Linked DNA regions of Bombyx mori. The protein of the gene in region 1 interacts with the protein of each later gene in a biochemical or structural test. Links are inferred from orthologs where the notes say so. Each region holds a gene or a part of one and is shown in the gene's direction. Other genes may lie near its edges. The genes, in order: cell division cycle protein 27 homolog and anaphase-promoting complex subunit 4.

The links.
Region 2: the proteins of cell division cycle protein 27 homolog (region 1) and anaphase-promoting complex subunit 4 form a complex in vitro, tested with the Homo sapiens proteins (2 studies listed by BioGRID). The link is inferred for Bombyx mori from reciprocal best matches to the Homo sapiens genes CDC27 and ANAPC4.

The regions. Positions count from the first base shown.
Region 1 is NC_085117.1:10,625,095-10,642,358, reverse strand, and holds cell division cycle protein 27 homolog, read left to right. Parts: upstream 1-6,902; 5' UTR 6,903-7,094; coding exon 7,095-7,118; intron 7,119-7,191; coding exon 7,192-7,267; intron 7,268-7,375; coding exon 7,376-7,523; intron 7,524-8,540; coding exon 8,541-10,407; 3' UTR 10,408-11,295; downstream 11,296-17,264. Other genes in the region: transmembrane protein 184B, read right to left, coding at 1,942-2,103; nuclear receptor coactivator 5, read right to left, coding at 11,379-11,645, 11,813-11,985, 12,380-12,579, 14,895-15,012, 16,042-16,200, 16,840-16,961. UniProt on the Homo sapiens protein: Component of the anaphase promoting complex/cyclosome (APC/C), a cell cycle-regulated E3 ubiquitin ligase that controls progression through mitosis and the G1 phase of the cell cycle.
Region 2 is NC_085119.1:8,384,020-8,401,288, reverse strand, and holds anaphase-promoting complex subunit 4, read left to right. Parts: upstream 1-7,559; 5' UTR 7,560-8,333; coding exon 8,334-8,439; intron 8,440-8,968; coding exon 8,969-9,072; intron 9,073-9,162; coding exon 9,163-9,354; intron 9,355-11,374; coding exon 11,375-11,906; intron 11,907-13,002; coding exon 13,003-13,202; intron 13,203-14,156; coding exon 14,157-15,371; 3' UTR 15,372-15,408; downstream 15,409-17,269. Other genes in the region: uncharacterized protein LOC119629381, read right to left, coding at 1,351-2,085; uncharacterized protein LOC101742302, read right to left, coding at 15,593-15,792. UniProt on the Homo sapiens protein: Component of the anaphase promoting complex/cyclosome (APC/C), a cell cycle-regulated E3 ubiquitin ligase that controls progression through mitosis and the G1 phase of the cell cycle.

The DNA.
Region 1 (17,264 bases):
TAAAAACATGTCATTCCTCAAAGTTGTAAGTCGAATTGTTTGTTTTTTACTAAACTATTTTCTTATGTGTGGATTTTGTGTGTATACATATAAAGATTGTATTATGAGTACATATATAATTGGTGTACATAATGTAATTAAATACTTACTTCCCAATTATAATTACATGTTGTTATTTTTAAGGAAAATACAATCTTTGGGCTGTACATTGTTTATCAAAACGTACAATTAAGGCGTTGTTTAATCACGATATAAAATAAAATTTACACCTGCAATCCAACTTTAATGTAAGATTGAAACTCATCCACATAGTAAAACTGTTTATGCTTTATATATTTTTTCCATGTCAATCGATATTCCTTTTTCTTAAATGAGCAACCAGTTAGTCGAGCTACGATTTTTAGTGTTTATTATTGTATTTTATTAATAAAGAAATTTGGATACAGTTAAATTTTTTCAGCTTATAAAGAATGTAAAAAAAAACAGAAGGCATTATGTAAATATAAATGGACTGAATCTAAATCTTGAGAACTCAGTGATTAAGGTCGAATTTCTATCACTTGATATTCCTTATTATACGATTGTGCGATGCGACAATTCAGTTTTCCTGAATGTGTTATTTTAACCTCTAAAAAAAAGAGGTTATCAATTACATTGCTTGTTTTTATGTGGATATCAGAATCTTTTTTTAGATGGATTTATTTTGATGATTCTATTTTTTATTGGAAATCTGTTGTTTCCTATGTGATCCCGATTAAATTTTGCCAAGATAAATGTTTTTGAGTTATCTTAAATGCATACTTAATTGATTTCGTCTGTATTTGATGATGTCTCACTTTATTTTAGTCGGGTTTTATTTTTGTTCAAATATTGTATTATCTAAATTCTATTCAAATCATGTTTCTAAACAATTTCTTTTCTACCTAAGCATTTTTCTACGCTTAGTTATACAATTCCATCACGTTGAACTAGACCATCTAAAATTGTATACTATACACGTTTTGTTCATTTTGTGACAAGACAGCTTGTCAAACTTTTAATAATTTAATACTTTGGGACGAAAATAGCATGTTTTGTTCAATTATTATCGTACTACTAGTTTTACGCGTGACTTCACTCCGATAAGTGTACAAAAAAAAAACTTAAATACTACTACTTTTTTTCGGGGTGCAAATTTCTTCATGTCCTCTTCTACACCCGAGACGCCGTGCATGTAAAATATCATGATGAAAGGTTGAGTAGATAAGGCGTGAAAGTGTAACAAAAAAAAACTCACTTTCACATTTATAATATTAATAGGGATGTAAACTGTAGAGATTATTTACCGTATTAAAAAATACTATGTTTTCATCATCATGTCATCGAAATACCTTTTTGTGAACGAACATAAAACAAAACATGTTATCATGGCGAAAATAAATTTTCAATTGTGTGGTGTTGAAATAATTCAATTGAATCGAAGGCTATATTTTTACGTCTCACCTGTCTTAAGATATTTATAAAAACATAAATTTTAATACATATAGGTAATGCGTGCAGCACACAATTCCTGTCTCAATTAATGATTTTGGATCGTGAAGCACCACAGTTTAACACCATCATCTAGACTAAATATATCGCTGAGTAATAGTGATTTCTTATCTATATGGTGAAATAATCGATGCCAAAGCAACAGAGACTTGATTTTCGAAGTATCGGCATTAACATCATATGTATCGTGAATTCGTTTTGCCGTCTACGCTAATAAAAGGAAACAAGTGAAATTACGGATTAGTAATTTAAAATTCCTAGCTATGAACCGTCATGTGTGTCTACTCTTTCATTGTTTATAAAACGTCTATATGTAAAAAAAAAGATACGGCAACTATCTGTAAAACAAACATACATATACAATGACACATACTTAGAGTTATAATACAATATATTCTGTTATCAACACACCTGTTGGCAAGTAATGAATAGAGCCGTGAACACGAATATTCCCGCGATGACCTGCGCGCTGCGGGTCTGCAGGAATATGGGCTCTTGCAGCGGCTTCAGCACGTCGTGAACAATTTCAGAAATCCGCTGAGCGGTTATATTCACCGTATCTGTGGTACTCATTCTGAAACAATAAATATTTTTAGCTTTACAGAGGTTTCGATACAAAATTTTGTCATTGAACAACGTATTGCATAAGAATCGTGTTGTCGAAAAGTAAATATTTAGAGCTCATGGTTTAAACGTTTGCAAATATTGCGCTTTATCTTTCTCCTACATCGATGCGATGAACCGCTTCATCCAGTGAAATGCAGCGCTATTGAATGTCCTTCCCCAAAAGCGGCACTGCTGATGCGCATGAACATAGTGGAATAGTAAAAAAAAGGCGTAGTCCCAATGTCTAAAATGGAAAGTCCAATTATTTCAGCGATAAAATATATATATTGACTAATTCTTCGCGTTTCTTTGACTCATCCAAGGAAATCTAATCGAAGATTAATCAATTTTTATATCAATATGTATATGTATTGGATACAATAGGATCTAATTAGAGGGTTCAGATCTTGCCATTGCCATAACTACGGAACCCTAAAAAGCAGAAAAGAAAGCTTGGGATTTTTTTTAGTGAATTTGGAAATAAATTGATGCTAGCATATTGCGTGTTTTTTTTTTTTTGTAAGCACCATTGCTGAGTCATTACGTTTTTGTTCTACTTTGTTTTAAGTATAACAATAACAATGTTCTAAAACCATTCAATAACTTTTAATTGATGTAGTCACTTTAATAGAAACAATAACATGTGCAATTGAAATTGATTATTATGACTGAATGTATGATTCTTGGACGACACAAAAGATCGCAGTTTTAATATGTCGGATAGCTGTTTGTTTGTGCTCCCTTCTAATAGGCTACGATGACACTGACATTGGAGAAAATTAATGAGACCTTTTTTTCGGTCCTGGAACCGAAACTCTTACGAGTTTAGGGGTTGCGCGGGATATGTGAGATTCGGTGGCCGAATTGGTAAAGGCCCAACCATTAAACAAGTCCCGTGCACTCCCCCTCGACGCCCGAGACAGAACCCAGGCAAGGTAGGGGGGATTTTGCGATCAACACTACAATGACACGAGTAGTTCTCCACCAGGAATCCAGGCCGACGGAGTCATCCAGGTGATACCTGACGACTCTAGGTCGGTCAGGTCGCCCCATATCCTTCACCGAGGGGGAAGTTGCACAATTTTATACCAGTTTTTAGAGTCGTATCATTAGACTTATTCAATTTAGACTTCGGCATTAAAACAGTCTTATAGAGAGATTAGTTAAAATTTCAGCGAAATTGGGTCGCGTCGAACCCGTCGCTTGCGACGAAGGGCTCCGCGAGTAAATTAACCCACAGACAAAGCCCACTGAGTTTCTCGACGGATCTTCTCGGTGGGTCGCGTTTCCGATTCGGTGGTAGAAGCACGACTCTTCGACTCTGCGCAACTCTGGCTAGGGTTCATGTTAGCAACAACGTCAGGTTTGAGCCCCGTGAGCTCACCTACTAGCCCGGTGACGCTGATATGGTTTCTCTAGACCATCAGCTTAGGTCGAAAAAAAAGCTAAATTGATCTGGTGGACCAAGTATATGATGACCATACGCACATTGACTTTTATATTTAAATAGCAGATTATATTGGTTGAACTGTCTTAAAAAGAGTGAAAGTATAGGCAGCATCTATCTGCATTTTTTCTGCAGTTAATATTTGCGTAATTGAAAAAACTCAGACGCATTAAATGACCATTTGAAGTAAATTTTATTACATTGAGTTTGAGAACATACATATTACATTTAGATGTTCTTTTGAAGTCTTATCATTTTTAATGATATATATACTTATGTATTTATTGTTTACTTTATTAAACAAAAAACATTACCAAAAATTGATATATGCAATAACATGCCTTTCATGAGTATTCTTTAAATAAGCCATTACTAGAAAAAGATTGGAAGTATCAACATAAAATATGATTTAAACAATAGCTGAATACACATAATAAGTATTATAGAACCAATGAAACCCAGGTTTAAGAAATATACAAGATATCTGCTGGAGTATCTGATATTACAATATTCATTTTATTCATCATAATCATCTTGGCATGAGTAAGTTTAGCACAAGACAGATGTTGACTTTTTTTTCCTTGCCTATTTTAGTAACCTCAAGGGGTTCTTCTAGATTCACCGGGCCAGTAGGTGAGCTCACGGAGCTCAACCGGGAGTGTGGCTAACAATGGCCCTAGTAAGAGCAGTGTTTTACAGAATCTACCACCGGACTTGGTCTACTATTTAGTGATTCAATGTTCATAGTCTGCCTAAACTTGTCCTTATGTATGTTTTTAGTGTTCATTTAACAGGATTTTCCTAGTGCAGAACCCATTAGTGTAGATATTAAAAAAAAAAAATTACATTAAATAATACTATTTTTACAGTTTAGTTACACTTTCATTATTTTCACTTTGTTATGTTTCAGATACTTTTAGTGGCGAAGGATGATGACAACTTATAGTTTTGTAGCACAAGAACGGCAAAAACACTATTATTTATCTCTACAACTAACAAATACTTTGAAAATAGTATTTTATTGATTTATTTCCCTTCTCTATACTAAGAGAATACTAACATCAATTCAGTTCAGGACAATACATTCATTATTGAAAATGCTAAATAAGTTGTGTAAAAGAAAAAAATCTGATGCAAAAACACAAAAAAAATCTATCTTCAACTATTTCACTTATGGAGTTAATACAAAGTTCTTGCTTTAGCTGGTTTAAATTTCTACTAGTAGAAACAATTGGCTCAGCTTTCAATCAATTTACAGTCAGTACATATGAATAATGAATTCTAGCTTCAGAAATATGAAAATATTAATGAACAATGTAATCCCAATAAAAATGATTTTAATGATATCTACAGCTCATAAAATCCAAAGAAAATATTATCATTATTACTCCATCCATTTCATTTTTTGTATGTTTATCGTCTGTGTAAACATTTATGTAAGTTAAAATTTCAATAAGAACCTATTATAAATGTATTGCCAATAACAAAAAAATAACATTCTAGTTTATATCACTTAAATAAAACATTTATAATAAGTATGAAGTTTCGTGGGGAAATAGTAGTCAGTATTAAAACTATGAAAACCCTTTTTCCTGTTTAATAATAAAAATCTTCACAAACTGTGTATAACATATACACTTGAGTTATTCTAATAGAATTTGGATAAATCAGCCAAAATATCTTTTTTTTAACAAAGAGCTTCTACAAACTGGTGTCTAGGTCATTTTCACTCAGGGTTATCTTACTACTTTAATTATTTTTATAAAATAATGTATAAATTATTTATAGGTATGTTGTCATAAAAAAACTAGAAACTAACTTATTGAAATATTGAATTTTTTTCGTAGTTCATTGCGTCACTTATTGATTTCCAGTGAAAATAGGACTTTAGAAAAATTTATATTTATGTTGTTAATTAACCATATCATTCAACCTACATGTTTATTGGAACATAATTTCTTAAGCGTGTTACGAACGAATTAACCGAATACCAAGCACAAAAGTCGAAATAGGAACTCGGTAAATTGGAGGTCACACGTCTTGACATTTTCTTGTTCGGTAGACGAATCTAGTGAAGGGCTGCTTTAATGACGTATCATGTTTATTTGCCTTAGACATACAACATAGGATACACAATGTATTGATAAACAGCAGTTTATTTACCTGAGAATTTGATTATAAATTGTTATCACACTGTTTTCCTTTTGTTATTAAATGTCACAGGTAATAAACACTGCACACATATTGCACACAAATTCCGTCGATTTTCTACACATCAACGTCGTACACTATTCGTTTTGATAAGACTATGGTCGAATGACAATTAAAACACAAATTATAATTTCAATTGAATGACTTTCCCATCGCGTTTACAAATTAATGTACCTATTTATTTTACTCTATGAAATAAGCGAATTATTTTTGATTTTAATAAAATCCACTAATCCACTTCCACAGAAACATTGACGTTCAGCACAGAGAGATTATTTTACTTTTTTTTAGGGGATTTTATGTCCTGGTAACTAAGACCTTTAGGTCAAGTCTTATTTTAATTTTTATGAAAAATGATAATATAGATATATATATAATATAGATATATCACTCTATATTATCATTTTTATATTTCTAAGATGAAATGATATAGGTTTAAATATATAATCTGGTGGTTATTTACTGAGACTTTTTAGTGGGTTTTTTGGAGGATCCCGAGCAGCTACCTCAAGCGGCCTTGTTTCATTTTCCCACATTTCACAGATATTAAACAGTTAATAAGCCACCGTTATTACACATTTAAGTCTGAAGAAACACTAAATAGACAAAATAAAACAAATTACACAATTTCACTCGGACGCTTTGCTACCACAGTTTAAATCCTTGAAGCAAGCTACTTCTGGAAATGATTGAAATTTCGTTCCAACTGCGATTGTGTATACTGGCATATTGCTACAAATTTTTTTGTGCATTTAGAATCATAGCTAAATAACAACTGGCCAAACTTAAATAAAATGAATTCCTACTCCAGTTAAATAGCGGGAGGCATGTCTGTCCAGAGTTGTCAACTATAGAGTACGTAAACAGGACATTTTTAATTTATAACTGCACTAACTGAACTTGCAGTAACTGAATGGGCTTAACCAAAAAACAACTAATTTTGATGAATAATGAACTTTAATAACTTCTTTTTTCGCTTCATCCTTATTATTTTTTAACAAAAATATAAATACAGGCATTTTCCTTTAATAAGTTACGACTCGTCCATTAATAGAACCACGTTTAAGATTTTGTAAAAACGGTTTTTTAAAATAATTTGGGAAATATTAAGATTGAGGCTGGCCACAGGATCATATGAGATGCTTAGGGCTGGCAGCTTTATCAATATCATAGACAATCAACAAACTAAAAATGTCCGTCGAAATAGATTTCCAATATATTTTGTGATTTGAATTTGTGGCTTGCAATGTAATTAATAGAAATAAAAACAATCTGGAAAGTATTTATTTACAGTAAAAAGATGATTGTGCAAGAACCTATCCAGGTATGGTGAAAACCAGTAAATTGAAGTTTCATATCTCCCAGTGGGACGTTATAAATTATTTGTTTTCTCGCAGGTTATCGTTTGGGATTGCCTCAACAATTATGAATTCGAAAACGCTATATTTTTGGCAGAAAGATTGTATGCGGAAGGTATATAAATTGTATTAAATATAATGTACCATTGCAAAATATTGATTTTTATTCTGGGTGTGCTTTTTGTTTTCGCTGCTTATTTAATAATTTGATGATTATTTGCAGTTGGCTCAGAAGAAGCTGCGTTTTTGTTGGGAACATGTTATTATAGGTCAGGGCGAATTAATGAAGCACATCATTTACTTCAAAATAAAACCCTTGCATTACCACAAGCAAGGTTTTTATTAGCCAAATGTTCAGCTGACTTGAAATCGTAAGTACTTTTCATTTAAAAAAAATAAATGTTAAAAATTCCCTGTGAAGCTTCTCTTCAAACAATTTAAATTCTATTAAACATATGGGTGAACTTATGATGGCATTTTGATAGTTCATGTACTTTTTGTTTATAAATGATTAATATGCAGATTGTAATGAGACCACCCAAGGCTATAACAGGTAAAATTGGGAACAAAAAGAAAACTAATTTCCTAAAGCATTTACAAATTAGTAATGATAATTTAAAATTTTTAGAACGAAATATGTAAGCTGGTGGCAGATGCTCCATGTGTTACTTTCTGTAGTGTCCACCATTTGTAGACACAGTTAAAACAATTATTAAATTTAATAAAAGACACGAGCTTGACTTGTAGAAGAAGTTTTAGGCACACAAACTTTTTTTTTTTATTTCTGTAATTGAAATAAAAAATGTACTTGGATCAGATACACATGTTTAATTTTTATCAATCAAGATCTGCAGATGCCAATATTAATTAGCTATGAAAATCAATAGAAAACAAAATATGAGTACCTGCATTCTATAGTTGAAATCTCAATCGCTTATTGCTATAGTTGTTATTTATAGAAAAGTTAACTGCTTAGCAGCAAAAATAGGTAGGATGGTAGCACACCTGTGAGGGCCTGCAACATGTATTAAATATTTGAATACAGTGAAAGCTCCTTATTCAATTCAAACTGACATTTAGCTCTTGGATCATAAATATGTCTCTTCAAAATAAGACTGATCTCAATAGGTGGGTCAATTTTCATAAAAAAATAACAAAGTCCATTTGCAATACCTAAAATTTGCTTCTGGTTTTATATGTTTTGGACAAATTTTTCTTTTACTGAACGCGAAGAGATGTCTTATATGATTAAAATATTTAAATAGGACACCAGCCCCTACAAAGGCATCTTTTGTCATGGCAGTTTAGTCATAGTTGCATTACATATGTTTTACTTTTATGTTAATGTATGTAAACCCATACAAATATACAGTTATTTATCATTACAGCTACAAAGATGCAGAAATTGCACTGGGCTCCAACCTTGATATAATAGCTTCTGAATTTGGAGAGCAGGCGCCATACGCTTTACAGCTTCTTGCCAAAGTATACATCAGCACAGGAAGAAGGAATGAAGCCGCTGAAGCCCATCGGAAAGCACTATCTCTTAACCCATTTATGTGGAAATCATTTGCACAGCTCTGTAATATGGGTGAGAAAGTTGACCCCCAACAAGTTTTCCAAATAAACAACTCTGAGTTCACATTTGGTGTTACAACATTAGTCAATCTAGTCAGCAATTCAGAAAATATATCATTTGTTAACTGTAATATTCATAATAACAGCAGCATGAATACAAATGTAACACCTAATAATGTTGCCACACGTACACCCATGGCTATGTCGACAAGTATAACTCCTGAGACACAAGCCCCAATGAAGCGAATGCATAGTGTTTTTAGTGGTATGGCACCTATTCCATTTTCACCATCATTTGGAATGCTTACAATGGAAGAATCTCCTGTATTATATACTCCAACATTGACAGATTCAAATGAACAGAAAGCAATTCCTAAAATAGTTAATTCTCTACGTGCACAAATGGGACAACTTAAGGATGCAGTATTTAGCCCAGCTCCAAGATGTACACTTGGCCCTGCCCCACGTAGATCATCAAGACTATTCAGTAATAATAATAGTAGTTATTCAGTAAAGGAAAATAATAAATCACCTAGTAGGAAATTTGCAGCACCAAAGAGTCCCTCAAGAAAAAATAAACAGAGAACTGCTAAAAATATTAAATCTAATACAATAGATTCAAATAAAAGTATAGAAACTGTCACTCCAACCATACCTCCAAAGAATTCAAATGGAGTAGCATTGTTGAGTCTTATGAAAGAAATAGGAGAAGCTTATAAATATCTTGCATTTTTAGACTGTAAAAATGCAATAAAATCCTTTCAAGAGTTACCTCCAAAACAATTGGCTTCACCTTGGGTACAAACCATGATCGCACGTAGCCATTATGAATTGGCTCAATATGAGGCAGCTGCTAAAATATTTTCAGAAATAAGAAAACAGTATCCAAGTCGTACTGAAGGGATGGAAATTTACAGTACCTGTCTATGGCATCTTCAGCGTGAAGCACAGTTATCAGCCTTAGCACAAGAATTAGTAGAATTAAACAGAACTAATCCAATTGCTTGGTTAGTTGCAGGAAACTGTTTTTCTCTTCATAAGGAACGTGAAACTGCATTAAAGTTCTTCAGACGTGCAGTTCAGCTAAATCCAGATGCTGCTTATGCACATGCATTATTAGGGCACGAATACGCCGTAGCAGAAGAAACTGATAAAGCTCTTGCTAGCTTCAGGTTAGCTGTTAGTATTGATCCACGAAATTACGTTGCATGGTTTGGTATAGCTACAGTTTACGCACGACAAGAACGTTGGAAAGCATCAGAAGTTCACATACGCCGTGCTCTCAGTATACATCCACTTTCAGGAGTGTTGAGATGTCAGTTAGGTCTGGCACAGTCTGCTCTCGGAAAAATGGAAAGAGCTTTATCCACATTAGAAAAAGCTGTAGCATTAGATACAGAGAATCCCTTATGTCGTTTCCATAGAGCTTCTGTATTGTTAAGAGCAGGAAGACCGCAAGATGCATTAGCAGATCTACATCACTTAAAGGACATAGCCCCTAGAGAGTCATTAGTTTATTATTTACTGGGAAAAGTTCACAATAAATTAGGTAATGCTCATTTGGCATTAATGCACTTTAGTTGGGCTACAGATTTAGATCCTAAAGGAACTGGAGGTCACATAAAAGAAGGATTCGATCCATCAAAACAGGAAGATCCACCTGAGAGATCAACCTAAAAAAGTATGACGAATGTAAAGGATACTATTCCAGATATGTTGGTAGAATGCCAGCATGAGATCACTGACTGATCCATTGTAAATATTGCTCTCACCCATCGGACTTAACTGACACCAAAATAATTCTTCCAAATATAAAATGTAGCTTTACAATGTTCAATGGGTGCGGTGGCATTAGACGCTGTAGTAATAAGAGCGTACATGTGGATATGTTTATATAGATTAAGATGTGGATATTCTTAATATTGAGCTAGTTTATAAACTTCTAGCCAAGTAATTTAACTTTAGAGAGGGTATGAAGTAACTATGGTTTTGTAAGATGTTTGTGAGGCCTTGATCTCATTTGAATGATTTGATAAAAAGAAATAATTTATGTACCTAATTATAATGACACAAAAATGGCAAGTAATAAAGATTCTGATGATAAGCTTTTTAAAGTATCAACAATATAATTATGTTCCAACAACTAAAGCAACTAGTGATCTATTTTAAACAGCTGTTTAGTGTTTCAGTTTGCCTGGCTGGATCCACTGGCAGTATTTAAATATCAATAAATCATGTAGTGTCTAGAAAAGTATTACGTTCATGCAAATTATGAACCATGCATGTTTTTTTAACTTTCGAGACATTTCTCCGCTTTGGATGTTAGTTATAACTATTTCCTGAAAATTATGATCAACAAAATGGATGTATGTACCTGTTCACTATGAGACAGATTAGTTCGTATAATAAAATAAATATCAAATGAAAGTTTTATGTGTATGTATATAAAGAATAAATTGACTAAAATAATAGCACTGTTTGTCGTTTCAAATCACTAATGAACTGCTCTGGAAAAGAGACAATCTCATATGTATGAAGTTTAAATAAAACTGATTATAATAATTATTGTAGAATGTTTTTATTTCGGAACACGACTTATTCAGCCTTAATTTAATATCCTGTAAAATAAAAAAAGTACATATAGATTTTTAAGTGATTTTTTGTAATATAGAATCCAGTGCTTTCCTCAATGAAGGGTCGTTAAGTAATTTGTTCTGTGCAGTGGTCGTCGCGGTGGTAGTGTTTACAGGAGCCGGAGCGACAACGGGTGCCGGAGGCGGTGTCTGTACGTTCTTGTCATTGAGAATATTCATAATTCTCTGCTGTAGTTCAACTTGTGTTTTGTTTGTTGTAGCAGTCACAGGAGCTGTCGAAGTTTCTCCCAATTCTAGTTTTACTTGATGGTCACGACGTTCCTAAAATGTTTACGATTAATATTAATGTGTTTAGATTTTTCTATATCTACTTAAAAATGAGAAATAATATTTCCCTGATCAAATTCTATTCATTGATATTGAATATAGAGAAAAGGGCCCAAATTTTTAGATACTATCATAAACTATTCATAAAAATGATCTTCTACCTGTAAATACTCGATAACTTTGTTGTATTGTAATACGGTAAGTGAACGGCCGTCAGCAAGTTGTCCGAGCAGAGCATATACTGCTTCACGACCGGAAGGACCACCGCGCTGGACCTCTTGGAAATTGCGCGATAACAGCTGCAATGCGTCTTCTATTGGCATATTTCTATGTTCTGTAATATAAATAATAATTTGTCTCTTCTATTTTAAATTACATCAGCGGACCTGATATTTGTACTCTTTTAGATACGATACTTGCAATGAGACCAGTTGGCGACATTAAAATAAATATGTATGTTCTTTTTTTAGATGGCTGGACGAGCTCACAGTCCACCTGATGTTAAGTGATTATTGGAGCCGATATACATCTACAACGTAAATGCGCCAACCACCTTGAGATATAAGTTCTAAGGTCTCAGTATAGTTACAATGGCTGCCCCACTCATCAAACCGAAACGCATTACTGCTTCACGGCAGAAATAGCCAGGGTGGTGGTACCTACCCGTGCGGACTCACAAGATGTCCTACCAGCAGTAATAAAATTCTGTAAGAACGACATTATTTTACCTTGAGGTAGTCCGTGTAATATTGTTAAGGTCAAAGATCTGTGTTCCAAATTCATCGGCATAACCAATATAGCGTAGAGACATCCTCTCGAAGCTATGTTACCGAGAACTTTGCCGATCGGCACGTCTTCCATTGGAAACAGCAAATCGACGACTATACCCAATCTTTTGAGTCTATTTTCAATATATTCCGCATATTCTCTGAAGAAAAAAAAAATTGTAAATTTTTTACCAAACCTATTAAAAAAATAATAGTTTAAAAAAAATAGAAAATACGTTTTAATAAATGTAAATTGAAAATAGTGAAAAATATATTTTATTGTAAAAAAAGCGTGGGGTGCATATTATTAGTTATATTTTTCTGACAGATATGAGTAGAAGAATTATTATTTCAATAATATCTTAAAAAGCACCCCGCGCTTTTTTATAATACATTATACAATACACTAAGTATTGTTATCGGTCCTCGATAAATCTACAAAGTTTGAATGAAATTTGGCCGTTTAAAGTGGGTCAAAATCGCGTCTAAAGGAGTCAGTTACAAACATACATACAAGTGAAGCTAATATAAAGCGTGTAAAAAGAGGGTATAAAATTAGAAATTGAAGCAGGCTTATTCCTATAGTGCTCTTTCCATGAAAAATCACTTACACATAAGTTCGTGATTTGCATGAATACATTTAGAAATATCTACTATATTATATGTGAAGTGCCTTACACACAATCATTATGCCAAATAAACTACAGATCGGGAGTTTCCATTACGTATCTTAGAAGATATTCATAAATACGAAACCTTAGCACGTTTGAGACAAGCGTTTGACAATAAGGTTTAATTAATAGAAGCATACTTTTAGGAATTCATGTGGATCAAATTTTTAATGTGCTGTAGAAAAATATTTCTTCAACTCAACTATACTTTTGCGGAATTAGCATCAAATAGATCAGAATCTATTATTATCATATGAAACAAGTAATAGGTACTTTGTTAGTCTGGCATTCCACTATGTCGCAAATTTGGCAATCGTGACTTCTAATACTGCGCGTTACTTATTCAATTTCAAGTTAGCACCAACGCGGCAGTCTTCGCTGCTGATAATCTTGATATTGAGTTTTTTTTCTTATTTTTAAGCGGGCAATATTTCAAAAGTATTTTAATACTTATTTTGGAGAAACGTGACATTATGTAAGTACTGTTTGTGCTTAGTATTCATGTACAATTAAATTAATTTAAAAATATAATATAAATTATTACATTACCTAAAAATGACTAAAAATAAATTATATTGTCATTGTCTATGAAATATATTTTTTGTAAGTGCTAGTTTAGACATTCAAATCAGGTTACAAGGCATCTCAGGTCATTAATGGTCTAGATTATATTGTCAAATGAGCTACGGCTGCAGGCCATATACATCAAAAGATGTATATGGACCCCCCAATTATGTACCTTGAGATCTGAGATCGAAGTCTAGACTACATTATAAAATGGTTGTTCCACGAATCAAACCCAAATACATGACTGTTAGCATGCAGAAATTGACAATAGAATAGACAATGGAAAATTCCAAATACCTTTTCTCATTTAAAATACACTTTACATTTGTAAAAAGTACGTTAATATAAATTTTATCTAGTTTCGTTCTATAGCTGAATGTTTAGGTATTATGACGCTTTACGTATTATGAAGCTTAAGTAATTTAATAAATGTACACTGTATCAAAATCTGTTGTGTTTTATAAGTACTAAGGGCAGACAAAGACAAGACAAAAATAGGCTTTATTTCGACGGGTAAAAACCCATTTGGTTTAAGCAACACTTTAGCAACTTACAGGCAGGGACGTCTTAAACTAGGATGGGGCCCTTGGGCACACAAGAATTTGAGACCCTTTTGGAAAGTAAAAAACCCGAATTATAATAACGTTTTTTTACTGAGTATGACCATTTATTATAGGTAATCAAATGCAGTATGATATAATATGTCATTAATGATATTAGAATGCTGCTGGTTTTTTGGTTACGATTTCGATAACGGTTTCTTTCGGGATTTCTGTTGAGCAAAACCTTCTATTATAGGCATAGTATATGCCTTGTAAATACCTTCTGATTACTGATTTGTGAAAAAAGTGTAATGTGCCCGACAAAAATGTTTTGAGAATAAACGTGTGAGAATGGGGGCCCTGGGCACGGGCCCCGTGTGCCCTTATGGTAAAGACGGTATTGCTTACAGGAGCAATTTGAGGTTTAAAATTTGGAAAATATGCCATGAAAAAAAACTTCTTCCTCTTCAGCTATTTGAATGTGGTAAACATAATTGAAGTTGAATTAAAAACATCGACTTGTATATAGTTACTAATACCGTATAAAACGACCTTTAATTGCAAAGATAAATGTCGCATAAACTAAATAGCCTCTCACCTCTCGATTTGATACTGATTATTGATAATGATATAGACTTAAATTCTACTATAGAACCATTCAATATTATTTGTTTTTTTACAATAGCTAACACTTACGTGAGACTCTTCGCAACAACAATGATTTCACAATCATTCCTTTCTGGTACCGGCAGAGTTCGTGGATACTCAGGGGGCTTTGGAAATCGGTTATAACCACTCCGATCAACCCATTCACCTATGGATAAACAAAAATAATGAAATAAATTGTTGTTAGTCTGATCCATCCTAAGCTATCTTTCACAAATTGAGTCGTCGTAGCCTAAAGGATAAGACGTCCGGTGTATTCGTGTTGAGCGATGCAACGGTGTTCGAATCCCAGACGGGTACCAATTTTTCTAATGAAATACGTATTCAACAAATGTTCACGATTGACTTCCGCGGTGAAGGAATAACATCGTGTAATAAAAATCAAACCTGCAAAATTATAATTTGCGTAATTACCGGTGGTAGGACTTCCTGTGAGTCCGGGCGGTTGATTTATATTGAGCTAATATTGAAATTATGCACAATAAATGATTTAAAAAAAACAGGAAATTAATATGGTAATGTCAAATGACAATAGCATGATATTAAATATAAGAAGCAAGGTGGTTGGACTAGCTCACAGCCCTGGTGTTAAGTGGTTACTGGAGCCCATAGACATCTACAACGTAAATACGCCACCCACCTTGAGATATAAGTTCTAAGGTCTCAGTATAGTTACAACGGCTGCCCCACCCTTCAAACCGAAAGGCATTACTGCTTCACGGCAGAAATAGGCAGGATGGTGGTACCCACCCGCGCGAGCTCACAAAAGGTCCTACCACCAGTAATTACGCAAATTATAATTTTGCGGGTTTGATTTTTATTCCACGATGTTATTCCTTCACCGTGGAAGTCAATCGTGAACATTTGTTGAGTACGTATTTCATTAGAAAAATTGGTACCCGCCTGAGATTCGAACACCGGTGCATCGCTCAACACGAATGCACCGGACGTCTTATCCTTTAGGCCACGACGACTTCAAAATAAGCATATTTACAAAATAAGAATTTTGTTTCATTTTATTTTGATACTGGTAAAATGTTTAGATCAAAGAATCATATTGACAACTCATTGCATGCATATTTGTAAAATAAATAAATGATGAATAAATATCAAATTCTGCTTAAAGCGACATTACTTTCTTGACTTTTTACAATAATACAAAATGGAAGTTCCTAACCTGATGGATTGATGGGTGGTCTATCACAGAAACTTGGACCTCTTGATCGTGCCCCACGGACTCCTTTACCTCGTGGCCCTAAGCCACGGCCACGGCCTCTACCTCTCTCATCATGAATTTCGGGCCTGTTGTTGCCCTCTTCAAATTCCTCTTGAAAACCTAAATTTTTTATTTTTTTATTTATGTTTATGAATATTATATATATATTATATTACATTTGATAATATTTTACGAAGAATTATGTTTTTAAGTTACATATCGACGCTTGAAAGGCAAACGTGACTAAGCGACAATAACTGTTTTGTACTTAAATGATAGGCAATAACCATATTCGATACGCAAAAATTCTAGGTCTATTAAAATCATTTCAATCCTACAGCTAGATTCGTTCAAATATAATTTTTTCAGGTATTTCAACATTAAATTAGTCTACTGCAAAGTTCACGCATTGTCGCTTAGTCGCGTTTGCCTTTCAAGTGTCGATATGAAATATGAAGATTAGAAACATACAAACTATAAAAAACAATTTGGAAATTAAATTATTTTTTTCTACCTAAGCTTATAGCCTTGAGAGGCTATATCAGCGTAACCTTAACTAGTAGGTGAGCTCACGGGGCTCAAATCTGACGACGTTGCTAACACGAACCCTAGCAAGAGCCGTGCTTCGCAGAATCTACCACCGGATCGGAAATGCACCCACTGAGAAGATCCAGCGAGAAACTCAGTGGGCTGTGTCTGAGGGTGACTGGAAATTTCAAATGACCTTGTCAATGAATAAAACTATCTTATTATTCTCACCATGATCATTATTATTTCCATAGTTGTCATAAGCTTCCTCACTTTCATCTTCCATTTGAGTGTCTTTTAGTGCAACAGCAGGTGGCACTTCTGGATATATCGTTACGGTTTCAACATCTCGTCTATATAGTAAATGTAAAGATTTTAAATATTTTGGAGCAATAAAGATTTTCAATTCATAGTTTCTAATTATATGTTATTAGAATAGTAAAATTTTATTAGCCTATGATTAACATAATAATTTGTGCACAAAGTGACTGCCTAGTCTAGCCCTGCTTGTATTAGCTCTCTTATTTCATTAACTCTATCATATCATGTTGTAGTGACCCTTTGCAACTTTACTAAAGATCTTTTTCTACTTCAGTAAAAGTAAAATTGAATGGTATAAAAGGAGAGGTATATCACAAAAATATAGATAATGGTGA
Region 2 (17,269 bases), on another chromosome or scaffold:
CAGAAGCTAAAATAAGAGTATGTGGCGTTTAAGAACGCACCTTTTTATGATGCGTAAGCCGGAACGCACGAGAGGTGGGAAAAAGAATATAGTCTGTGCCACGGGACCTTTTTACCGCCAAATATTTAAAACGTAAAAATAATTTATAATGTGTTAAATAACTAATATAATATAATTACTTAGAATTGTTTATGCCGCTACAACAATAAAATTTAAACATTTATTTAAATTTAACATTTACGCAAAATGCGTGTTTGGTGCTCCTGAGGTTACTTTTCTCGGAAACAGAATATCCGCCGACGGAACACAACCACCATCAGAGCGCATTCAAGCTCTAAAAGATTTTCTTCTACCACAGACCGTACAAGGACTCCGTCGTTTCATTGGGATGGTTAATTATTATCGCCGATTTCTGCGCAATGCGGCGAAGTTACAAGCACCGCTAGTCAACGCGATCGTGGCCGCTGGAGGTAAAGGTCTCACACCGATCATTTGGACACCTGAGCTCGAGGAATGCTTTAATGCCTGTAAAGATAATAATAATAATAATAACTCTTTATTTATATAACACCTTAATATGTACACAGTAAAGTAATAAAACAAAAGTCGGTATATAAATCGGCGGCCTTATCGCTGAAAGCGATCTCTTCCAGGCAACCTTGCAGGGAGAGGAATAAGTTAACTGGACGGTGCTATATCTTAATAAACTTACATAAAAATATATACTTAAATACACATGTGAAAAATAAATACCATATAAGATACACAAATCTAGCAGGTTATCCATCACCGATATATGTTCACATATGTATTTTTGAGCATATTCATAATTTTTAGTTACATTGTCCAAATCAGTTTTCAACGAATTTATTTGTGAAGTTAACTTTTCTATTTCTAACTCATGATTGTGATGAACATGTTGTAATTCTTCAAGTGAAGTATCTAGTTTTGTACGCAGTGCATTTCGGTCTTTGCATATAGTTTTTATATAATTAATAGATTTTCTAGTTTTTAAAAGTTGCTCCGTTTTATTTATAAACTTATTTAACTTAGAATATCTCTTATACTTTTTCTTACTAAGAACTAATCGAGAGGAATGTGTGTTAAGATTTTATGTGGAAGAATAAGCAGACTCTTTTTAATATCACAAATTATATTTTATTCACACGACACAATCTTATTAAGTAGAGAATGTATCCATGGTAACGAGTCAACATGACTAGTGCGGCGATACGCAGCTAGTGCTATATCTCAACACTCCTCCTAAATGATAACATGGCTTACAGTTATTATTTAATACACAACTATATCTAACTTAACTAAACAAACAGTAAACTAACTAATTAAGAATTAGCACAAAAACTTCTTAATGCATTTATAAAACTTGTCTGTGCTCAAACTTTTAGTCATAACATCCGCTAAATTTTCATTGGTACAAATATGTTCAATGCTGATCACCTTATTGACAACCAAGTCTTTTATATAATGAAACCGTATGTCAATGTGTTTTGTACGCTTAGAGTTCTCGTAATTCTTGGCCATTGATATCGCACTTTTGTTGTCAACAAATAGCACGGCATTTACATCACAACCTAGGTGCTTACATATGCCTTTTAAATTAACAAATTCCTGTGCTAATGATGCGGCGGCTACATACTCGCTTTCAGCAGACGATAAAGTTACGCATTGTTGCTTCTTTGAAAACCAAGCAATGGGGTTTTGCCCTTGTAGGATAATACCACCGCTAACACTTTTTCTGTCGCTTCTATCTCCAGCCCAATCGGCATCAGAAAATCCGTATAAATTATTGTCATTTGTCTTTTTAAATAATAATCCTTTTTCTTTTGTTTCTTTCAAATAACGTACTACTCTTTTTCCAGCTTTCCATAATTCTTCGTTCGGTTTATCTAAAAATCTGCTCAGATATGACACTGCAAATGTTAAATCCGGTCTTGTTGTTACAGTAAGATAAATTAGACTTCCTATTAGTTCTCGATACGGTACGTCCAAAACTTCTGTATTGTCATTTATTTCTATATTGTAATTTCTTTCCATGGGAGTTTTAATTCCGTTACATTCATCCATTTTGAATTTAGTCAATATCTTTTCAATCATTTTAGTTTGTTTCAGTTCTAATGTATCTTTATTTCTTTTAACTTCCATTCCGAGAAAGTTTTTTCATTTCGCCCATATATTTTGCGTTAAACTCCTCCTTAAGTGCTTTAATAATATCTTCCCCGTTTCCAATGATTAGGATATCGTCCACGTAAATGAGCATCCAGCAATCTTCTTTGTAATACAAACAGTAATCATATTCTGATCTTTGGAATCCCTTAGCTTTCGCAAATTCGTCAATTGTTTCATTCCAACATTTTGGTGATTCAATCAATCCATACAATGCTCTCTTTAGTTTTAATGCTGTATTATTATTATTTTTTATTTCTAATCCTTGGGGTATTTTGATAAATACATCAGACTTCAATTTTCCATTTAGGAATGCAGTGGGAATGTCTAGTTGAATAATCTTTAAATCATCTTGTACAGCTTTTGATAAGATCATTCTTATGGTTGAATGTCTAGCAACGGGTGCATAAACGCTGTCAAAAATATCTTTTTTCTTTTGTTGGAAGCCTCTAGCTACCAGTCTTGCCTTTTTTGTTCCATCTTCTTTTTGTTTAAATATCCATTTTGTATCTATGAGCTTTCTTCCATCGGTTATTTCTTGTTCTTCCCACGTTTGTACTCTTTGGAGTGCATCTAGCTCTTTATTGATTGCGTTTTTCCATTCTGGTTCTTTTATAGCTTCTTCGAAAGTTTCTGGTGCATTTGCACTCAGACATATAACAATATTAGTTTCATTTATGTTTTCTATATTCGTCTCGTAATCTTTAAGATAAGCAGGAGGATTTATCGTTCTTTTGGGTCTGATTATTGCTTCTTCAATCTGATCAGTGTTCATTTCTGCATCTTTAAATTCATCTTCCTGTTCTACAATATCTTGATTTTCTTTATTGATTTCTTCTTCTTTGTCTTGAATATATCTAACTTGTTTCACTTCTTCGTTATTTTTGAATTTAATATCGCTTTCATCAAATCTTACATCTCTGGAAATAACTATTTTATCTTCTTCTGGATCCCATAATCTGTAACCAACAGTTCCATAACCTACCATTCTTGTTTCTTTTGCTCTCTTGGCAAACTTGTCCGGTTTGGGTACTATAGTAGCCCAAGCTTTGGAACCAAATACTCTCAATCTCGATAGGTCGTTTTTACCAAAAAATATTCCGCTGGGTGTCTTGAAGTTTATGGCCCATGATGGCGATCTGTTTAATTGGTAAACTGCACATTGTATCGCTTCGCACCACAGATGTTTTGGCAAATTGGTTTCCGCTAATAGAGTCCTCGTTTTGTCGCATAATGTGCGGTTCATCCGTTCTGATATGCCATTAAGTTGTGGCGTGTACGGTAATGTGTATTCTAAACTAATACCTCTATTTATGCAAAAAAGTTTCAAACTATTAGCAGTGTACTCTCCACCATTATCGCATCTAATTCTTTTAACTTTATTCCCCGTTTCGTTTTCAATTCTTAATACATAGTTCATCAGTCGTTCTGTTGCTTCAGATTTGCTCTTCAGGGGATACACTACGCAAAAATGAGAGAAATCGTCAATAATTGTCATAAAATATTTTTCACCATTAGGTCCTTGATGTCTGATCGGTCCTGCTATGTCTGTGTGAAGCATCTCGGCTGTCATTTTCGTTCTAGGCTTTGGGATAGACGTGAATGGGCTTCGGGTGGCTTTGCCCTCCATACAGGGACTGCAAATTCTATCAGATACAGGTAATTTTAGTATATTAAGGCTTTTCCTATTTAAATGACCTAAACGTTTGTGCCATAGATCTGCCGCATCAGTAACATTACAAACTTCGGACTTACATAATTCGGCTTGTAGCTTATACAATTTTCCTTGCACGGTGCCGCATAAAAATGTATTTTTATTAAATATTTTAACATTGTATTTATTAAAGTTTATGTTAAAACCTGCCTCGACAATCTTTTTCACTGATAACAAATTGTATGAAACATCTTTCACAATTAGAGCATCAATATTAATCGTAGTATTTTGATATTTTACTTTAAGTTTACCTCTTTTACTAGTTGTAATACATTGGCCGTTAGCTACGAATATTTTGACATGTTTATCTAAGTACGTAATATCCGTCATATAATTTTCATATTTTTCATTTATTAAATGCTCCGTACATCCTGAGTCTATAATTAGTTCTATGTTACCACATTCACCCACATTAGCAATAATATTGCTAGCAATGAAACCTATTTCTTTGTCGTCTCTGCCTGCTGCTGAAGTATGTTGATACGTTGTATGTCGTGAACTTGAATTTCCTCTAAATGAGCGTCCACGCGATCTTGGATAGCTCCATCCTCGTGTCAATGACTGTCCTCTACTCGGCCCTTGTCCTCGTCCTGATCTTCGGCATTCGAATGATTTGTGTCCACGTTTTCCGCAGGAGTGGCACGTGATGAAGGCATTATTCTCATAGCTTTCACTATTTCTGTCCATTTTTAACTTTGTCTCCATATCGAGTAGTCTTGCTTTAACAAATTCTAGGTTCAGCTGTTTCTCGGAAGCCATAGTCTCAATTGATGTAATTACTTGATCGTTTAACTTTGGTAGAGAAGACAGCAGATAGCAAATTTGGTCTTCTACATCGACGTTTACGTTGATTGCCGCTAATTCGCTAAGAATTCCTTCAAATTTTAGGAAATATTGCTGTAAGTTGCTTTCATTGTCATAGCGCATTGTTATGAGCTTGCGTTTTAAATAAAATTTGTTACAGACTGTTTTTCGTTCAAATATGGCCTCCAATGACGTTAACATTTCTTTGGTCGTATTCGCATTTTTTACGATGTTAATATATTTGTCGCTCAGACATTGTACCAAAATTGATTTTGCTCGTGAGTCATCTTTATCCGTCGGTTTCTCTTTTAAGAATACATTGCTTAATTGCTTTTCTTCCAGCAGTAATTTCAATCTAAATTTCCAATGACTAAAATTTGAATTTTCAGTCAAAATCGGCAGAAGAGACCCCGCAGTTGTCATCTTTCTTTTTTTTTTATAATTTTTGCCGATATTATTTTTCGTGGATCGCAACCCAATATATTTTTATTTACTTACTGCACGCGATCTGCTACCATGTTAAGATTTTATGTGGAAGAATAAGCAGACTCTTTTTAATATCACAAATTATATTTTATTCACACGACACAATCTTATTAAGTAGAGAATGTATCCATGGTAACGAGTCAACATGACTAGTGCGGCGATACGCAGCTAGTGCTATATCTCAACAATGTGTACTATCGGAGTCACCACCAGTCAAATCTATTGTAGGTATGTCACACTGAGAAGTGGTGATCACTGTTCCAAAAAAACAAAAAAAAAAGCCCGCTGAGTTTGTTTCGCCGGTTCTTCTCAGGACTGTGGCTTTTTTTTGGAACCGGTGGTAGAGTTAACATTGTTATTTGTATTTTGACATTCAACAAGTGTGTCATACTGACATCTAAGTTGAAATAAATGATTTTGAATTTTGAATTTGAATTTGATAAACTTACATACGATTAAATACAAATAAATACTAAAAATATACAAGATAAAATACAAAAGAAGTAGAAACTTATACAGTTATATCATAGAAGCAAAGTAGTGCGATTTCAATCTGGACTTGAAAATTTCTGAAAGATAGCTTGTCATCTGCAGCTCTGTTGGCACACCCGTTGCCTAACGCTGAACTAGGGCTTTTCACCGACACTTCCAGTTCTCACGTTGGTGCCTGCCTTCAGCAGAAAGTCGGTGATGCTTGGCAACCTCTGGGTTTCTTTAGTAAAAAGCTGAATCCCCGACAGTGCCAGTGGCCAGCATACTACCAAGAACTTCTTGCAGTATATGAAAGTGTGCAACATTATCGACACTTCCTAGCCGCACAGCACGTAACGATTTATACGGACCATAAATCATTAGATTACGCGTTCTCGCAACGTCGCGAAAGGCTTCCTCCGGTACAGTTAAATCAACTGTTTTTTATTTCGCAGTTTACCACGGATATTGTCCATATAAAAGGGGTGGACAATACGGTGGCGGACACCATGTCCCGCATCGAAGCTGTTAGTTTTGAAACTGACCATTCTGCTCTCTCCGCTTGCCAAAAACTTGACGACGAATTGAAAAAGTATCGTAACGATGCGAATTCTTCTCTAAAACTAGAGAACGTCTTAGTTCCTGGCACAAACACTGTTTTGGTCTGCGACATGTCAACAGGGCGACCACGCCCATTTGTATCGGAACCTATGCGAAAGAAGATTTTTGCTCAGCTACATAATCTTAGCCAACCTGGTACTAGATCAACCATTCGATTGATCTCAGACCGTTTCGTGTGGCCTGGCATTGCCAAAGATTGCCGTTATTGGTGACAAACCTGCGTTGCTTGCCAGCGAAGTAAGGTGACGCGGCATATAAAATCTCCACTTGGACACTTCTCCAGTCCTACGTCTCGGCTGAAGCATGTCCATATTGACATCATTGGCCCTCTTCCATCTTGTTCTGGCTTCCAATACTGCCTGACTGCTGTGGATCGCTACACTCGATGGCCCGAAGTTTGGCCTATGCACGGAATAACAGCAGAAGAAGTAGCGAGCACCTTTGTAGCCGGCTGGATTGCTCGATTCGGAGTTCCTGCTGTCATCACAACCGACCAGGGACGACAGTTCGAGTCGGACCTTTTCAGACGCCTTACTAATTTATGTGGTACTAAACGTATACGCACTACTAGTTACCACCCTTGTGCTAATGGGCTCGTGGAGCGCATGCATAGACAATTAAAGGCCTCTCTGATGTGTTATGATGATTCGTGGTTGAATGCATTACCTGTGGTCTTATTAGGAATGCGTTCTGCTTTTAAAGAAGATCTACAAGCATCAGTAGTGGAATTGCTTTACGGAGAAACGTTAACGCTTCCAGGGGAACTGTTAGTACCTCCCGGTCCCTCTGGCTTCGAGGACCCGACGGATTTTGTCGTAAAGTTAAGACAGCGTATGTCTAAATTGCGTCCCACTCCGTGTTCCTCACACACTAAACCATCACCTTTCATATTTAAAAATCTTTCCACCGCCTCTCATGTCATGCTCAGGGAGGATTCGGTTAGACGTTCAATGCAACCTTACTCTGGTCCTCATAGAGTTATATCTAGAGCCGAGGACGGAAAACGTGGTCGATTGAAGTAAAAGGGAAACAGGTGACGGTCAGTGTCGACAGAATTAAGCCAGCTTTCGTCGAACATTCTTTAGTAGATGTCGTTCCGGCACCAGCACCACGGGTTTCTGTGCTTCAACCAGCGCAACCGGATGCTACTGATGTCCCTTCATGTCCACTCGTGCCGTCGGCACCTCTAACTGCTACTCCTACGCATACACCTCAATATACCACCCGGTCGCAGAGTCCACTTCTCCAAACCTTTCGACCTCTTTAGTTACCAGGTCATAAAATCCCTTAAAAAATTGGCGGGAACGCGAGGAGTGAACTTGTGTAATTTGTTTTATTTTGTCTATTTAGTGTTTCTTCGGGTTTAAATGTGTGATAATGGTGGTTTATTAACTGTTTAATATCTGTGAAAGTGCACAAATGTGGAAAAATGAAACAAAGCCGCTGGACGTAACTTCTCGGGATCCTCCAAAAAGTCCACTGAAAAAATCTTAGTAAATGACCACCATTTTACTGAGATTATATTTCATCCCATTTCATTTCATTTAATTTCATCCCAGTTGATTAATGTCTCAAATTAGTCGTCTTCATTTCATTTCACTCCATAATATCATTTTTCATAAAAATATGAATATAAATTAAAATAAGACATGAATTAAAGGTCTCAGTTACCAGGTCATAAAATCCCTTAAAAAATATGACATACGCTAAGTCCGGCAAAAAATAATTCAAATAATGTCAACCAAATTTTCTTACACTGGAAAGTGAAAACAACCTAATGTTAACACATGTATACATAGATTATACACTTAATATATTAGAGACATGTATACAAATAATTAACATTCTCGGAATGTTCCCAAATATGTTGTATACTCAGAAATCTCTTCAAAAAATTTGCCACGACGATTACTAGTAACATCAATCAGTTAATTATGACCAGTCTTTAAACTCTAATATAACATATGATATCAATCATAATACTGCCGATGCCGAACCCTCAATTGTCAACATTGTTGCTCAGAGTAGTACATGTGATTTAACTACAAGTAAAATGCATTGTGGTATGAGGCAAGTTGGAGAGAGGCATGTGCCCTATCAAGTTGATCTTATGGTCTGGAGTAACCGTCTGGATTTGCTAGCATTAAGTAATAATAAAGGTATGACAGATCTCAATTCATCATCTAATTTTAAAAAAATATTCTTACAAAACTATGTACACATCGATTGTATGATTCAGACTGAATGCATTATATCTTCTATTTTATCGCGTTAATGTAATTTTTCTTGTACATAAAGCAAGTTTTTTAATTACTAAATCTACTTAGCCCTTGGTAGAGTCTTCAGAATACAATAAATTCAGTCCAGTCTAACAGATGTGCTTTTGTTTGCTGTTGATTCAATTTGCAGTCAGCTCTAGGGCAGGATAATGGTCTGTTCAGAGTTTACGGGACTGCCATCTTAGAAGTTTCTAGGATCTCCATCATCATTAGTTGTGTTAGTTTACGATGACAAGACTTAAACTTGAGTTTGCATTAGGGTCTGGTTTTTTTGCTGATTTAGATAGATTAAGAATGTAAGTCAAACAACTAACTGTAAACTTTCCTAAAAGACGTAAGCAGTGGTGATTAGTTAGTGTAAGACAGGCTGTAAGTTTAAGCTTTTAACTTTTATTTATTTTTATTTAAGGTGAAGTCCAAATACATAGATTGCATTGGCAAAAAGTATGGAGCTTACCACCTCCAAAAGAAAATGGCTGTGTACAAGCGATGGCTTGGAGACCTGATGGAAAGGTATTAAATAAAGCACTAAAATACCAAGTAACAGTACCTACTGAACTGTATTTAATTATAAATCTAGAATTTTGTGGTAAATGGTTTCAGGCTCTAGCTATTGGATACAATTTAGGAATTATTTATACAGTTAGTGTGGAAGACAAGGGTATAATTGATAAGTATGAATTGGAACTAGAAGTCACAGATGAACTTGATACTGCTAAGTATAGCGGCATTTCTTGTATTGTATGGGCGATACGAACTGACATCTTGCAAAGTGCCACTGAATATAATTTATATGTGAGTGATTCAAAGTTAATAATAGCTTATAAATTTAGTAGATATATGTATAAATAAGGACTAGTAATCTAAGGAACCTAAATATGTTTAACGTTTGGGGTTTCAAAGATTAGAGCAATGTCCAATTTTTTTACAGTCAGCAATATTTTGTGTTAATTCTGATCTATCAATACACCACTGATGTTCCAGGTGGCAAAATAAAGTGTATTTATTTTAGAAACCTGCATAAAATTGTGTCATCATTAGATTTATCACCACCAGCTCATTTGATCAAGTCTATACATTCTTTCAGCTCTTCTATTAGGAGTTTTTATTCATATTGCTCTAGATAAGCAGACAAACTCTCAGAGGGCCTACCTTGGGGGAAGGGGATTAGTGGGTCAGCGATTATGCAACTGAATCTTCAAGTCATGTCTCAAAGTGGGCAGTGATATTATGATATCTATGGGCTTAGGTAAATTCTAACACCCTGTCTGCCTGAATATATTTCATAAAATTGGTTTTTTTGCAATGATATATAAAAATACATAAAAATTTGCCATAGTAATTACTGCGAAACTCATAAAATGACTAGTCAATTATATTAGAAATTATAATTACAATAAAAACGTTATTAAAATTCCAAAAAAGTTTCTATCTTAAGTATCTAGCCAATAATTTTAAAGAAAATAGATATGAACTGATTTGAACCATGTACAGTATAAGTTTTGTTAGCTTCGAAAATAGATACCGTGAATATGGAATAGTAATTTACCTAACAAACGATCGCACACTGCCCCCACACAGCTGATGATTTCACACAGATGATCATTATCATTTTATTTTTATTTTTATTGCTTAGATGGGTGAACGAGCTCACAGCCCACCTGGTGTTAAGTGGTTACTGGAACCCATAGAAATCTACAACGTAAATGCGCTACCCACCTTGAGATATAAGTTCTAAGGTCAGAGTATAGTTACAACAGCTGCCCCACCCTTCAAACCGAAACGCATTACTGCTTCACTGCAGAAATAGGCGGGGTGCTGCTACCTACCCGTGCGGACTAACAAGAGGTCCTACCACCAGTAAACAGACTGTATATCCACCCTCTAGAAAGCTAATCAAGTCGTCGTGGCCTAAAGAATGTAATATTATAGGGAATATAGGGAAAACGTTCCTAGGTGACAACATAAAAGCATACTTTAGGCAAAGTTGTAATAAGGTTTATTTAACTTTTTTATAAGTCCATTTGACGACGCATTTTTAAATGAAGAAATCTTTACCCGCGAAAGTAGAAATTAGGTCTCATTTTTTAAATCCGCGAATTGCGAATTTAAGTATAGGTATAGTTAATTTTGTTGTGAACTCCCTGGGACTGTCTCTTTATTTATTTTTTTACGACTCCCTAATCAAGTAACACAAAACGTTATGAATATATTCCATTATACTGGTGGTAGGACCTCTTGTGAGTCCGCGCGGGAAGGTACCACCACCCTGCCTATTCCTGCCGTGAAGCAGTAATGCGTTTCGGTTTGAAGAGTGGGGCAGCCTTTGTAACTATACTTGAGACCTTAGAACTTGTATCTCAAGGTGGGTGGCGCATTTACGTTATAGATGTCTATGGGCTCCAGTAACCACTTATAACACCAGGTGGGCTGTGAGCTCGTCCATCTATCTAAGCAATAAAAATAAAATAAAAACTCGAAAACTATTGGATGACATTTGGAAGTTTTAAACTAACTAAAAATGGTTGGATTTAAAGTAATTATTAAAAAAAGGTTGGCATACGCCACGTAGCTTGGGGTTGAAAAGTGTGAAACAAGATTTATGGAGTTAACTTTTTATGAAAATTGTTTAATTCGTTAAAACCACAAACGTTCATCCTAACTACGGAAGTATTCTGTCGGTTGTTCGACTTACACTTATTCGAATTATTTTAGCGTTTTACAGCAATAGGTACTTTTAAGTTTCCGCGAAAGTAGGTTTTCAAGTCGTGTTTCAAATTAATTTATTTAAGTATGTCATTAATCATTATTTCAGGATGATGCCTCAATATTTTTACAAAAAGTTCCAATGTCGAGTGGATACAAAAACAGTCATGAAGACAACAAAGATTGCAAGTACATACAGAATCCCACACAACTGAACATGTTAATTGTCGGATACGGAACAGGCAACATTTACCTGAACATGTATGGCAGGTATCCGTATGGAACTATTCAACTGGCAGAAGTGGCCAAAGATGATTTTGGAGAGTACAAAGTGTTAGACGTTAATATGTCAGATGACTTCAGTGTCATGCAAGTTCTTTATGTGGATAGATTGACAAATAATGTTTTTTTGGCTATTGTTAACACTGGCGTATTATCTGCATACGCCGATGAAATAAACACGGTAGCACATAAACATGGACAAATTGTTCAGCTGATGACTCAACTTGATCAAACGATGATTTCAATTACTGAAGCATGGGAACATATATTGCTTGAAATGGATACTAAAATGGCATATTACGCTTCATCTGTGCACGAGGGAGGGGTTTCAGCTGATCTATTAGAACTACTCATGTTAGGTCTGTACTACTTCTTGCTTTTCTAAATATATTTTTTTAATAATAAATGACTAAATATTTACTAACGATCACGCCACGTTAACTGGTCCCGTGTTAAGTTCGTAAAGAGCTGGTGTTACAGGTATCAGATAACGGAAATAAATGTAAGATTTTTATTATACACATTATTATACATATTTTATTATTGGTAGGCAGCGGCTTGGCTCTGCCCCTGGCATTGCTAAAGTCCATGGGCGACGGTAACCACTCACCATCAGGTGGGCCGTATGCTCGTCTGCCTACAAGGGCAATAAAAAAAATATAATATATATTATATAATATACATCCATAACCCTAGAAAAGACATTTTATATTTATCATACAAATATTTTCCCTTGGCGGGATTCGTACCCGCGACCCCTTTGTGTAGTGACCATGTCACTTACCACTACATCAGACGGCCGTTAAATTGTGTCCATACGATATGTAGTATTCTATATTGATTATCATTGAAGACAAATGGCAGATGGTAAGAAGTTACTGTCATTCATGAACAGCAGCAATGTTAGGGCGCATTCACGCTCTGACGCTAAATACATTAAACTACGTATCGTTTTTTGTTTGTTTAACCTTTTGAGCGCGAACTGTCGATAGATTGACTCGTCATCATTCTGATGCCCTCTTCTCTGTCACCATCGGTCAGCGCAGTTTGTTTAAAGGTATTAGGTACCGATATGTACGGAAGTGTCTTAGCGCGCGCATATTTAACGTTTTCAATAAGTTAATACATTTGTAAATAATAATTTATTTTGCTGTAAATTTAGCATTGAATTTTGTATATTTTTTTAAGTAAAAGTTTTGTTGTGGCAATTTTTTTCTAAAATCTTTTACAATTTTTTGCATAATATGTGAAAATAAGCTCAGCACTCAAAGGGTTAACGTAAGCTCGCAGGCCTCTTGGTATTACTGTACATAGACTGTTGTCTGGGTCCTGAGCCCTGATCTAGACTAATAAAAAATAACCTATCACTTAATAATTGATCACACAACAGAATAGGTTACTTACTTATGTTTTAAGCATTTCAAAATAATAAAACGCGACCTTTTGTTGTGATAGGTACTCCATCAGTGGATTTACAAGTTTACCTTTTGGAAAAATTGACAACTAATGACTTGAAAAAATTTGGAAATTCTGTTGAATTAAGTTACTCGACCATACAGAAGCTGGTACTGAAACAACTCAATATTGTTGGCCAAAGTTTAGTTTATTATTTAGCCGAACTCAGAGGACTCACAAGGATAGAAGACAGATACAAGGTAATCATTAAAAAAAAAATTAAAACCAAATGATATTCTGTAAATAAATTGCTACTTATTGGTAATAAAAAAATAGACTTGGACTTCTTTACTCAATATGGGTCGCAGCGTCCACATTGGCATCTATGGCAGTAATCGATAAATACTAGGTAAGGTATCTAACCCATTTGAAATACTATATTCAATCCAAGATTTAGTATAAATACAACAACAATACTATCGCATATGTACTACACACCTGTACAGAATTCTTAGGGGTTTGATTCTTTTTTGAGTCACGAAGAAACCGCTAGACTTCCGCTTAAAATTAGAGGCCCGTGGCAGAATTAAACCGTCTAATAGCGCTCGTTGGTTGAGACACAATGGAAATATATGGAACGCTTAGGGTGCTAAAATTCGGACTTCCTTCCTATTCGAGTACCCCTGCTGGCTGAACGATGACGATTTGGTCCGCTAGCACTCATGGCGCGCTGCTTGCTTCTGTCAACACATTCGGCAATTCGGCAAAGAAGAGGACGGCTTTTTTTGTGTGGGTCATTGCGCGAATGTGTGAGTGACCTCATAGACACAGCCCACTGAGTTTCTCGCCAGATTTTCTCAGTGAGTCGCATTTCCGATCAGGTTGTTGATTCTGCGAAGCACTGCTCTTTGCTAGGGCCAGTGTTAGCATCAGTCCCGATTTGAGCCCCGTGAGCTCACCTACATGTCAAGCTGAAATAGCCTCTCAAGGCTTTCAGCATAGGTAGGAGTAAAAAAGTGAGTGTATGAAGCCGCAGTGATGGCAGTCCACCGTGGACTTAGCCACAACCCGGTGTTATTTCTGAAGCAATGACAAAGCAGGGCGCTGGTTCTAACACTTATCCGCTTTATCTATTGAATATCATATCACATTGTATAATATAATCACGATAGATTAGATGCAAATATTTTAAAATAATATAAACCATTTTGCAGATTCTAGGTTTAGAAGAAAGCAGTGTTACAGAAGCGATAAAAGCATGTTGTGCATTTTTAAACAAATGTCTGGAATTACAACAGGTTATTGATGTATCGATGCGGAACTATAAAGCTTTCTTCAGGTGGCTTTTTGTAGTAATCGTTAGACAACTGGATGAACAAACACCAAGTGAAATTGTGAAAATAAATCAACAGGAATTGAGCCACATAGCGGAGTTTCTCTACAATTTTGACAATGTAAAAGTAGACAGTTCAGACAAACCACCTGATAAATTGATCAAATTTAATTTAGAAAGATTAGGGCAATATTTGCAAAATCAAGAACTGACAATTTTGCCAGAAGATGAAGACAACACATGGCATAAATTTCTTCAAGACAATGCTTGCTTCCTTAAAGACAATGATACATTTTTCTCCATGAAAGACTTCAAAAAATATTCATTAGTTCAACAGCAAGCACATCTTATAGAGACAGTCACTAAAGTTTTTGATGTCGTTCATAAAGATACAGGAAAATATTTTTCTGTATTATGTAATATTAGATGCCACGAAGATCAACTGAATAAAAACCTGCACAATAGTTTGAGAGTTTCACAAGTCTTTGATGACACAAATAAACGATTGATGTCGGCCTTTTTGGATATATCAAATGGAAAAGAAGGAATTTATTTTTTGGCTGTCAATATAAAGGAGAGATCTTGTAATATTGCAGTTATGAAATGCTACTTTTCTTCTTATTTAGTTCAAAATGGCACTGATGATCAACAAAACGAACCTACAAATTTATTAGATTTACAATTCTATTCCCCAGAATATTTGTCAGTTATTACAACACATCCTGAAAATGAGGAAAATACAATATTTATTCAGGTACCAGTAAAACATCTCCTAGAAAATTCTACTGAACTCAATATTAACACAAAATCTTGTATTTTTACTGACAGAAGTGTAAAGAAGGATATTGCGCCTTTATTAGAACAGAATGTTTATAAAGTGCTTGAGAAAATGGACGGTTCAAGATTAGCAGTTTCTGGAGGTCGTAAAGTTGCTGTTATCCTTTCAAAAAGTTCTCGAAAAGTTAGAGTATTTGAAATGGAAGTTGATGGTGATGATGATGAAGACGATACTCTCGATACAACACCACAATCTATTGGAAAATTTCAAAACACACCTGATAAAAGTAATACTACCAATGAAGACAATATTTTTTAATATTTATTTAAGAAATTAAATATTCTACTCATCCTTATTATCTAGTATCATTTCTTTATCTACACTAGTACTTATTGAAAATTAATAATATGTAATTGGCAATAGATTATACACATTTGTTTAAAAGCATATTATTTTGGAACTATGTATTTGGAAAAATAAATTATTACAGTATTAAAATCTAAGTCTATGACACATCTTGACTTATGTACTGTTTTTAACTAAATCAAACTACGATGTGGTGATTTAATTTGAATATTTTCAAATACTGAATTGAAATCTGTATCTAATCCTTGGTTATCTATTCCATAGAGAAGTTCAGATGATTGATTTCTGCTTGGTCCCGCAACAGGTTCATGGATGCTAGTGGTAGTTTGATTATATATTTCATCACCATCTATTTCCTCATCTGGTTCATCAACTACAAACAAAATTTAAATCCATAATTTGGTCAGTCATCATACTTATGTGGTAAAATATAAAAAATGATAAGGGCTTTCCAAGTTAGTATAGTAACATTAAAAATACAGTAAAACCTCATAAAGGGAAATACAATTTTTTGCTACACTTTACATTAATACTTAATTCAGAAAAGCAAAGAATACATAATTTATTTTAAATTGATTCAATTACTTTCATAATTTTAGTGATGAATTAGTCTAGTTTTGCTTGTATATAACAAGTAGCTTTTGCCCGCAACTTCGTCCGCGTTGAATAGTTACTTTGGCAGAACGCATAATTTTACCCACCTCTTCATTTACGTAGAAAGTGAAAATGTTTTTGAATAATAAAATGTTAAGGAGCTATTTCCTTAAATAGTAATTAGGTTAAAAACCGTGATTTTGGTACCTTTACCAAAATCACGCCTTTTAGCCAACTCCAAAAGAAGAAAGTTATCAACTCGACCATAATTTTTTATCTATGTTCACCGATTTCTCAAGAATGCTAGAACCGATTTTGATAATTCTTTTTTATTTTTATCGAAAGGGTAGACTTCCCGAATGGTCCTGTTTACATCAAGATCTGATGATGGGATCTTAGAGAAATCCAGAAAAATCTATAGGTAATTGCAAAGCCTATCTTGAAGTGATTTGGGTGTTTCAATGTTGTAATGAATAACGTATACAATACGACCGATGTATCTTGGCGAGTCCGAACTTCGCGCAGAAGGCTGCGCACAAACGTTTTTAGGAACCAAATGGTGGCATGACCGACGTGCGCGGGGCGGAGGTCTAGGCTAGGATTTACTCTGTGTAAACACAATCGTCCCTTTATTCAATCAAATATCGCAATCGATTTTTATCGATTTAGAATTTATTGATATTTGTTTTTATGAGATACTGAACGAAATAGATTTACAAACTTATTGAATGTTGTCGTTAGTAGACGAGACTTCATCTTTAATAATAAAAAAAAACTAATAACACTTTATTTTCTTGGTTGAAAGACACGATTTAGTTGAATATCAGTTATTTATAAACAACTACTACAATAGGAACTGTTTGTTAATATTTTAAACCTTCTATAAAATGGAATATAAATATATTTTTTTATTTAAATTTTAATCAATTTGAAAAAAAAAATCGATTAAACAACATCCTCAAACCCGCATATTGGACATCCCTTTTCTTGACATCGTATAAATTCGGTAATGCTCGGTACGCGGTAATGTGTCTCACTCACACGCTAGTATTAGTGTCGTGTTCGTGTCGCTATCTCTGTCTTGAGTACGGGCGGCTACAAAAGTTTTCATTGATTTGTTATTATTATACTGTTTTTGTTTAGTGCTCAGTTTAGTTTTAAGATTGTTTGTGTTTAAATTTGTTTTAGTACTAACTGTCCTTTGGCATTTATACAATTCGTTAACAAAGATGCCACCAAAGCATAATAGTGTTTTA